Neurospora crassa OR74A: one gene and its partner. The protein of the gene in region 1 interacts with the protein of each later gene in a pairwise test. Links are inferred from orthologs where the notes say so. Each region holds a gene or a part of one and is shown on either strand. Other genes may lie near its edges.

What was found. The genes of interacting proteins can lie anywhere in the genome.
Region 2: the proteins of NCU03669 (region 1) and NCU06090 interact in binary tests that used the Saccharomyces cerevisiae proteins (3 or more experiments, as listed by UniProt). The link is inferred for Neurospora crassa OR74A from reciprocal best matches to the Saccharomyces cerevisiae genes SPB1 and RRP14.

Annotation. Positions count from the first base shown.
Region 1 is NC_026505.1:2,020,501-2,025,919, reverse strand, and holds NCU03669 (AdoMet-dependent rRNA methyltransferase spb1), read right to left. Parts: upstream 3,236-5,419; 5' UTR 3,093-3,235; coding exon 2,925-3,092; intron 2,858-2,924; coding exon 1,081-2,857; intron 1,014-1,080; coding exon 543-1,013; intron 464-542; coding exon 384-463; 3' UTR 211-383; downstream 1-210. Other genes in the region: NCU03668 (WD domain-containing protein), read left to right, coding at 4,286-4,991, 5,048-5,158, 5,213-5,419. UniProt on the Saccharomyces cerevisiae protein: Required for proper assembly of pre-ribosomal particles during the biogenesis of the 60S ribosomal subunit. Specifically methylates the guanosine in position 2922 of the 25S rRNA at the stage of 27S pre-rRNA maturation.
Region 2 is NC_026507.1:1,847,947-1,852,202, forward strand, and holds NCU06090 (hypothetical protein), read right to left. Parts: upstream 2,801-4,256; 5' UTR 2,563-2,800; coding exon 2,542-2,562; intron 2,420-2,541; coding exon 2,336-2,419; intron 2,226-2,335; coding exon 735-2,225; 3' UTR 282-734; downstream 1-281. Other genes in the region: NCU06089 (exonuclease), read right to left, coding at 3,446-4,256. UniProt on the Saccharomyces cerevisiae protein: Involved in ribosome biogenesis and cell polarity. Required for the synthesis of both 40S and 60S ribosomal subunits and may also play some direct role in correct positioning of the mitotic spindle during mitosis.

The DNA of each region.
Region 1 (5,419 bases):
CATGAACCACTGCGCCATAAGACCGCAGGGCCCGCTGGGGTAGAGGGGCTATGTAACGGACCTTATATGCTGCCCTGCTGCCCGGCCCAGGCCCAGCTCGGGCCCGGGTGTCATGTCATCCGATGTCTGAGGACGGGAAGGGCGCGCCGACAGGGTGGCGACCTCGGCGGCAGCAGGAGCTCAAGAACCTTGAACCCAAGTAAACGACGTCTTGAAAGCTTTTAACAGTGCTGCTCTCTTTATTGACCATTCAATCCCCCTTTGATATACAAGCATAACAAGATCTGTCTTGTCATAACAACCGTCTTCTACAACGATATGAACAGGTAAAAAGGTATCGCAATTAAAACTTCCACCAACTATACTGCTGCTGGACACGACGTCTATTTCTTCTTGGAAATCCTCTTCATCGCCCTCAACTCCTTCTTCATACGAGGATCCACCATCTTGTACCTGCCCTTGACTATAAAATTGAAAAAACCGAGTTAGCATCATTCCAACATAAAGAACACACCAGATCTTAAGGTAGTGATAGTACGAACCTCCTTTAGGTCTGCCCTGGAGACCCTTGTTGGAACCAGCAGCCTTGACAACCTTGATAGGCGCCCTCCTCGTCTTCTTAGCAACCGACGCCATGAGCTTCGAAATGCTAGCAGCCTTTTCCTTTTCTGACATGCCATCGTCACCGGCAAGCATATCGGCCTTCTTCTTGAGCTTCTCCAGCCTCTGGGCCTGCTTGAACTTCTTCCTGGCCTTGGCCTCGGCCACCTTCTTGATAGGACGGGCGTTGTAGGCCCGGAGCTTCTCCTTAATGGCCTGCGCTGCGGCCTTGGTGATGGGCTTGTGCGGCTTGTCGTGCTTGGACTCGTCGTCAAGGAACCAGTCGGGAAGACCGTCGCGGTCCTTGAAGGCGTGCTTGGTGTAACCGTCGTCGATGACGTCGTAACTTGTCTTCTCGCCGGTCGCGAGCTGGTGGGCGAGGGTCATGGCCTCGGCGGTGATGATGTCGATGTCTGTAGTTGTCATAGTCAGCCATTGCCCTTAACAGGTCATACTGAAGAGGGACTGAGTGAAACTTACCAGGCCTGCCGTTCTTCTTCTTCTTCTCAACGTTCTCCCAGTCGTCATCCTCGTTGTTCTTGACAACCTCGAAATCGTCGTCGTCATCGCTCTCCTCGGCCGCCTTCTTGCTCTTGGCCTTGGTTTCCTTGGCTTCCTTCTTCTCCTTCTTGGTAACCTTGAGGTCCTCCACAGCCTCAACAAGCTCAGCCTCCTGAGCCTCCTCCTCCTCAGATTCTGGCTCCTCCAAAAGTCCTGGTATCTCCGCAAAGATACCTTGACTGAAGAAGTTCTTGGCCCGCTTGGACAGACCATCCTTCTCTTCTGGCTGGCCGTCTAGATCTGTTATAAGTTTCTTGCCAGATTCACCATCCTCTGAGTCGGAATCATCATCACTGCTGTCCACTTCTAGTTCCTCATCGTCATCGTCGTCGCTACCCTTCTCCTCATCGCCAGATACGCCTTCCCATTCATCGTCGCCGTTCTCTTTCCTGGCCTTCTTGGCACGGTACTTGGCATCGGCCGCCGCCTTCCGCTCCCGGTACTGATCGTACAGGTTGTCGAGCTCTTCCTCCAGACGATCGGCCTCCTCGTCGCTCTCGTCGGTTTCGCCGTCGGAGCCAAAGTCGTAATCCTTCGGTTTCTCGGTCTCTTTGATAACGGCCATCTTGCCCTTGGCGATCTTATTCAGGGCAGCGTTCTGGTCGATAGTCTTGAGACGGAACATGGCACCCTCACCACGGGGACCTTCCTGCTCCACACCAATATCCATGGGCGCAGTCATGTTCATCTGCATGCGGACAATCTCCTTTTGCTTCTTCTCATTCTCGCGCCTCCTCTCGCGCTTCTTCTTGGAGGTCTCCTTCTCCTTGATCCTTTGCAGCTCCTCCTGGATCCTAAGCTCCTCATCCATGTTCTCCACTACCGCAACCTCCTCGTCCACAGCTGCCTTCTGGGTCTTCTTGGAGGGGAAGCCGAAGATCTCCCGTACTTTTAGACGCCATTTTAAGAGAAGCTTGAACTCTTTCCTGCCGAGCACTTTGAGATCGGCGCAGCAGAGACGGATTTCTTCGGTCGTTTCGGGGAGCTTGTCGAGGGCAGCCAATGCTACATCGCCGTTCTTGGGTTGCTCAAAGCTGAGTTTGTTGTACTGGCCGAGAATGGCGATGGGATCGACAGTGTTGATGAACTCGCTGGCAGAGATCTCCTTGAACTGGGTGTAGTCTCCCTCCTCATAACCCTCTCTCTTTCTCTTCTTGACTTCGGGGTTGTACACCTTGGCTTCGTTGTTGGGGGCGGGGCCGGCCACATCCTCGAAAACGGAGCGGGGGTCGAGAAGCTTGGGGTCAATGCGCTTGGGGGCCTTGAAGCCGCGGCAGACGACGAAGATTTCGGCGGAGACGTTACGGGACGAAGGGGGCTTCGTAGCCTCGACCTTGGCGAAAAGCTGGTTGCAAACCCAGAGAAGGGAGTTGTAGTCCTTGGATCTGAACACCTTGGTGACGAACGTACCGCCCTCAATAAGGAACTCGGTGGCCAGCTTTAGCGAGTGCAGGGCAAGTTCGGCCTGGTTGTACGAATCCTGGACCCAAGCAGTACCGACGTTGGGCGCACCATCGTGAAGAACGACGTCGGCCTTCCATGTCTTGAGATGGGAGCGGATGGTTGCGCGACACTTTTCGGTGGTGATATCGCTCTGGAAGGTAATGACCTTGGGGATGGGCTTGATGGGAGCAAGATCGACACCGATGATGATGGAGTTTGTCGGCATAGTCTCGGCGCAGACTTGACACCACGACTAGGGACGGACACAGACATGGTTAGTTCACTCCATGATAAACTGGATGTTCACGACTATGACTTACACCGGGCGCAGCGCAAAGATCGAGAGCGACCTTGCTTTTCTCGAGGAATCCATACTTCTTGTTGAGCTGGATCAGCTTGAAGGCGGCACGGGCACGATAACCCTTCTCCTTGGCAAGCTTGTACCACTTGTCAAGACGGCCCTTGCCGTGTTTCTTTTGGATCGCCATGGTGCCGGTGCTCTAAGTCGGGGGGTGTTTCCGACTGGTGTTGTTGAGCAGGACGACCTGGTGACTTTTTTGGGTTGGTGAAAATGGCAGTCCGGGTGCCCTTTGACTGTTCTTCCCTCCAGCACTCGCAGCGCAGGGATTGCAGGGTCGTCGTTGCAGAATGATTTTTTTGGATGACAGCTGCAGGGCGATAAGCGATAAGAGACTGGACTCCGGCGGCTGGTGGGGCAACGAGCAAGACGGGCCCCATCAGGGTGGGCCAGACATCCCGCGGTTGAAGTGCAGTGCATTGACCAATCTTCATGTCTTCAGCAACCGCGATTTATGGGACGAAAAAGCCATTAAGCTTTCGCGATGCAGCGCGTCATTTGTTCCCGCGTCTTCGCGTTCCCCTGATGGAGCACTAAACCGCATTCCTTCTAGGCGCCTCCCCCCCGACCCCCGGCCGCTACGGACCGCACGCCCAGCCTCTGCCCACTGGAGGAGGTGTTCAATGGAGTCCATGGGTGGTCAGGCCAGGTCAGGTCAGGTTTCCATGGCTGTCGATTTGGTTGCCCGGCAAACCTAGGTACTCAAGTGGGAACTCAGCAAAAGCGTAGGTACTTCTAGGAACTGAACCACGCAAGGGAAATCCACAACAGAAACGAACAACCAAATCCAATTCCATCACATCTCCACCTACGCATTCAATTTCAAGTCCATACTACCAAGGACACACTTACACCAGAAACCGACATAGACATACCCCTTCCGGCCGCACCACTTCACTCAGAGGACCCATACTACTACGACCAAATCCGCCAACCAATAAACTCGGCGCCAATACCTTACGCCCCCCCCGGCCGCCTACCTTGTCTCTCAACGACGACCTCGACCTCCCGTCCTTCTTCAAGCTCAGCCTGCTTGCTGCACACAGCCTAGCCTGCAACTTCGACGTCAGCCCTTGTCCAATATCCAGTCGACACTTGCCAGCAATACCTCTGCGCCAGCTGTTGCTCAACTGATTCTGTACAAATATCCATCACCACAGCCTGTTCTCTGTCTCCGCGTACCCTTGCCATCGGCGGCCCCTCGCTGCCAGGTCGCGCGCATCCAGCGTCGCCGGCCCCGTGTACATCGTCTCTAGGTATCGTGTTGCATAAGCGGCCTGGACCCAGCTCTTCGCTCTGGTAGTCGAAGAGAATCCTTTCGCCATGGCCGATAACTCCAACAGCACTTCAACCCCTTTGGGAGTTAAGAGCTCGTCGTCGTTGAACACCAGCAACAACATTCCCCCCATTCCGTCCTCTCCTCCTCCGCGAAGCGCAGCCAAGGAACGTCGAAACCCGTCCATCACCCCCCGGAAATTCAGGCGCTTCTTTACTCCCCGAGTCATAGCGAATAACCACCCCAGCGCTTCCCAAAGAGCTCTTCGTGATCTAGCCGGTCCTCTCATAGAACGATCTCATACTCCATCCAGTCCTCTCAGGCCCATCTCGGAAGAGGAAATCCCAGATGTGTTACCGAGCCTTCAGGATGGCCAGAGAAGCTCCAAGCGTCGAAAGATCACTCATGCTTCAACACCCAAGAGGGCTGAGGCATCGCACGTATCCCACCTACCCTCTCCTGCAGCCACATCCCCAGCCTTACTTTCGACTCCCGAGTTGAAGCACGATCGTCTCGGCAGTCCGATCCATTCTATTCGGAAGCTACCATCCCAATTGGCCCTCGATGGAGATGAGGCTGAGTCGGAAGAAAGTGATGATGATGATGATGGGCAAGAGCTGCCAACCACACGACGTCGGCCAAACCGTGCGCCTATACAGTTGGATCGTCGTGGATTGGGAGCTCAACTGGTGCAGCGAGTGACGGGTGGTATGCCTGGTGCCGGAAACAGGTCTTTATCATGCCCAGTTTCTGGTATGTGGTGATATGTCGATGCATCTTCCTCAAGCCTATGCTGACTCGGTAAACAGACTGGCGGTCGGAAACGGCGGACTTTTATAGTCGCCGAGAAGACGCCCATTTTATGAACAGCCACGAAGGACATCCTCGCAGCATCCCATTCTGCACCACAAGCTGCAATAGTAAGTCAGCATACATTCGTTGGCCGATAACTCCGTTTGCTGACCACCCCAAAGCCAAGAATCTTGTTGCTGTAGGTGACGAAGAAGGGTATGTGCGTCTGTTGGACACCCAGAATGAGTTCTCTCAGATCAACATGTCGTTCCAGGCGCATGGCAACGCCATCATTGACATGGCCTTCTCCGACGATGACTTGCTTCTTGCCACGGCTTCTGGTGACCAAACAGGCAAGGTATTGGACTTTGTAACGCAGCAGCCCATTT
Region 2 (4,256 bases), on another chromosome or scaffold:
TTAACCCCTTCCAAGCTTCCCTTGTGGAACGGAACACGGGTTGCTCCGATCATGATAAAATCGTGTAGCATCACCTAGAATTATGTCGGCTTCCAGGCGCCGTGTTAGTGCTTTGATTGCGAATAAAGTAGAGTCCGACCACCCAGCACTAACAGCACCTCATTTCACAGCTGGAATTTAACGCCTACACCGGAGAGCGCCTCGGTATCAGACAAGCAAGAAAGGGAAGCTATGCGTCTCACATCACCAATTCAAGTCACCGGACAAAAAAAGAGAAAAGACTCGGTGAGCTGATAATCACTTTTTAACTCCCTGAAGATGCTGCCTCGCTGAAGAAGAAGGGGGACCTCCAGCCCCTACCTCCTCCCTTCGCCACCACTACTAAAAGCTAGCTAAGTATAAAAGAACAAAAGACAAGGCTTGCCCAGCCTCGTACCATGTTAACCGCTTGTCGTGATCTGGTCCAGTTGTGATATGTACGTGTGATATAATCTCTTTTTCCATTCCGACCGTGCAAAGAAAAAAGAAACGAAAAACCATGAGGAAAAAAAACAAACGCCAAAAACACCACCTGTTACCCCCTTCCAGCAAGAAATATGTACGTAGCGACAAGGCAGAAGAATGGGAAAAGGATATGCCAGCCTCCCGAGCATCTGCCGCTATGCAGCAGCAGTGGTATCAACATCTCTCTCCAAAAAGACAAAACACCCCTTGCTGAACACCTTATCCGACGCTTATTTCTTCTTACCACCGAATCCGCCCTCGAATCCAGGCCTGCTCTTACCCTTGGAAGCACCTTTTCCTCCACCCTTACCGCCCTTGCCGCTCTTGACCTTGATGCCCATCTTGCGGGCCTTCTTCTCGTCCTGCTTCTTCTTGATGTTCTCCTCGCGCTTCTTTGACCTATCGTACTGGGCCTTGGCGACGCCCTCCTTGCGCTCTCTCCACTCATTGGCGCTCTTGCTCTTTGCCTTCTCCTTGCGCTTGACAGCCTTCTTGAGCAGGTGCTCGTCGTCGTGAACCTTCTCGCCCTCGGCACGCTTGCGAGCAGCGAGCCACGTCTCCTTCTCAAGGACTTCCTTGCGCTTATCTTCAGGCAAGGCCTCGAGGCGCTTCTTCTGCGCCTCAAGCTTGGCAAGCTTGGACTTGGCGTCCGTGGGGCCCTTCTTCTTGGTTCCGTCGGACTTGACAAAGGCGGCGTCACGAGAAAGCTGAACACCATCAGAGAAGGCGAGACGTCCGAAAGCAAAGTTGGTTTCAACATCGTCCTTGGGGCTGAGCATGCTTAGGGGAGAGTTGCGCGAGCTGGCAATAGCCTCTGACCGCTTCCGATCCTCCTCCTCCTTCTGCTTCTGTCTCTGCTCGCGCTTGTGGGCCTTGCGCTTGGCCTCCTTCTCGCGGCGCATCTCGATGAGTTCCTGCCTAGTGCGAATGGGCTTACCCTCGTCGTCCTTCTCAACCTTGCGAGCGGCACGGAGTTGCTCAATCTTGGCGGCGAGACGCTCGCGGAGAACCGTGGTATCGGCGGGAAGCTTGAACTTGGGCTTATCCGATGGGGGAACGGCGGAAGAGATCGAGGTGTTGGCGCTGGCAGGCTCGGCGGAACCGGCCTTGTCGCGACTGTCGAAAACAGAAGATTGAGCGGATTCCTGGGACTCGCCCTCATCCTCCTTTGTTACGAGACCAGACACATCAATGGGAGCCATATCGTCGTTCTCGTCGTCCTCGTTAGCTTCGGTAGAAGGCTTGGCTTCTTCGGCGGTGTCGTCCTTCTTTTCCGTCTTTCCACCCTTGCCTAGTTTCGCCTCGAGCTTGGCCTTCTTCTTCTCCTGCTTGGCCAGCTTTGCGAGACGCTTGGCCTCCTTTTCTTGCTCCTTCTTGCTCAAGGGCTTCTCAGCGGGGACGGCCTCCTCCTCCACCACCTCCTCCTCCTCCTCGGAAAGCTTCTGCTTTTTAGGCGCAGACTCTTCTGTCTCGGCGTCGTCTTTGACGACCCTCTTCTTCAGTCCTTCAAGAGGCTTCTCCTTCTCAACACCAGGGATTTCGACGTCGATGTCGCTGTCTTCAGTGCTGCTCTCCTCCATTTCCTGGAGCTTGCGCTTGTTGCGGGCGCGCTCCTCCATGACCTCCTTGGCGTTGCGGTTGAGTTCACTGTCGGGATCGAGCTTCCCCCGCTTAGCAGCTTTTGCCTGCTCCTTGGTTTGCTTCTTCTTCTTCCACTGATCCTGTTGGCGGGGTTACTTGGGATCAGCGACGCGATCGAAGGCATTTTGACACCAACATCAATGGTTGAGTTTATGATGAAGAGCTAAGTCAACGGGTGGGGGTAACGTACACTATTGTCCTCGCCGTAGTACATCTTGGCTGGGATCAGCGACAGTAGACCGTCAAAGGCCTGAGCGTGAGAACGCAGGCGCTCCTGTTCGCAATCGCAAGACGGCATGGTCAGCGTCGAACTCTAGCCATCCCAGTTTGGCCACAACTACCAGCCCATGGGTATCACCGTATCGGTGGTGTGCATTCCAGCGCCGGTCTGCTTACCTGCAAATCGGTATCCGCCATCTTTGCACACGCTGGTTTTCGCTTGTACGAGTCGACCTGGTTGATTGCCAGTCGCTAAAATAGAGAGACCTAGGTGATTGAGGCGACAAAGAAAGTCGAATCCGGGATTTCGCTGTGATGGGGTTGTGAGTGATGTCGAGCGGGCGGAATAATGGTCGAGGTAGTATGTCGAGGTATCGAAACGAAACCCAGATGGAAAAATTGAGACAGTGGAGGGCGGGTCGGCTGTGGTCGAGCGACTGTTTCCCGTCTCGATGAATTTTTGTTCGCCAGTGGATTACAGTGAAATTTTAGTGGATTGTTCCCAGCAGTGTGGAGCCCCCCAGCACCTTGCCCCACACTTTCACGCTTGGGGTTCTGGCATTCTGCCAAAGGCGGTGAACTGCCCTGGCACCTACTCATCGATCTTATCGCGGTTAGAGGGATACTTGCCTATTCTAGCACGCTCCCGTCTACCTCGTGTATAGTATACCTATAGGATTTATGTTTGGATCTGATGGTGACATGTCTCCTGACAGTGTCTTGACAGGTGCAACAGTGTTCCTTCATCATGGTTACCATTGTTTGTTTATTTCCTACTAAAGTGATATAGCTACCTTCTGGACAAAGGCCATCAATGAATGGCCCATCAGGGCAATGTTATCGCATAACAGGCAATAGAAGTTCTCCTCATTTACTTCAGCCTGCTCTTTCCATGATTGCCTTCTTTGCCTGATAATACTCCTGACCCATGATCTTTCCTCGTTTCCTTACAACAGACCATAGTACAATTCAAGCCCACCCATTTTCCAGGCGGGGTTTCTTCCTTACCGATACGCCGAGAGCTATGCACACCACATATCTGGCTTCTCCTAATACACTCCAGAGAGCACGAGTTGGGGGCTCACGAATACAGGTACTGCGCCAAGTTAAGTCGCGGACGAGTGGCTGCCGTGCCCAATTCGGTTTCTCCATCACTCTCAGGAATAATCTGATCCTCGCTCCCCTGAAGCGACATGTTCAGGGCTCTAACTTCAGCAAAGTCGGCCAACGGCAACGGAATGGCGGCGGGATCCACCTGGACGGAGCCGAGAGCCTCGCTCGGCTTGCTTGATTTACGTGCGCGGAGGCTGCTAGGAGGCGTGGCGCGGGGTGTAACTTGCTTCAATGCCCGGGCTCCCATGCGTTGCAACGGAGTCAACATGGGCGAGCTTGGATTCAACGATGATCTACGCACCGCAGCAGATCTCTCTTGGGTTGAGGAAGGTGTAGGCAGACCATTGACAAGGCGAGCACCGGGTTTACCTGGTTGATACGAGAATTGCCGGAGCCGAGGGCCCAGCGGCGTCTGGGATTTCACACTTTTCTTGGTGATGGCCTCTTGCGATGATGAGCCAGGAACTTCCACTTCGTCCTCGGCATCGCTGCTGGCATCAATGGTGGTACTCCTTGGCATCGCAGGAAGAGATGGCTCTTCCAAATCTTCCTGTTCCTTCTCCTGAGACACTGGTTCAGAGGACGGTGACTCCTCGACAAACTGAACCTTTCCGCTCCGACGACGAGCCTTTGACGAACTCCATACAGCATCCGGAACGCTCCGAAAAGCTTCCTCGATAGAGTCATCCGACATGATGAAAGACTCCGACTTCCTGGCTGCCGCCTTCTTCGCCTTGGTCTGAGGGAAGAACTTACTTTTTTCGGGGTTAGCAGTGACG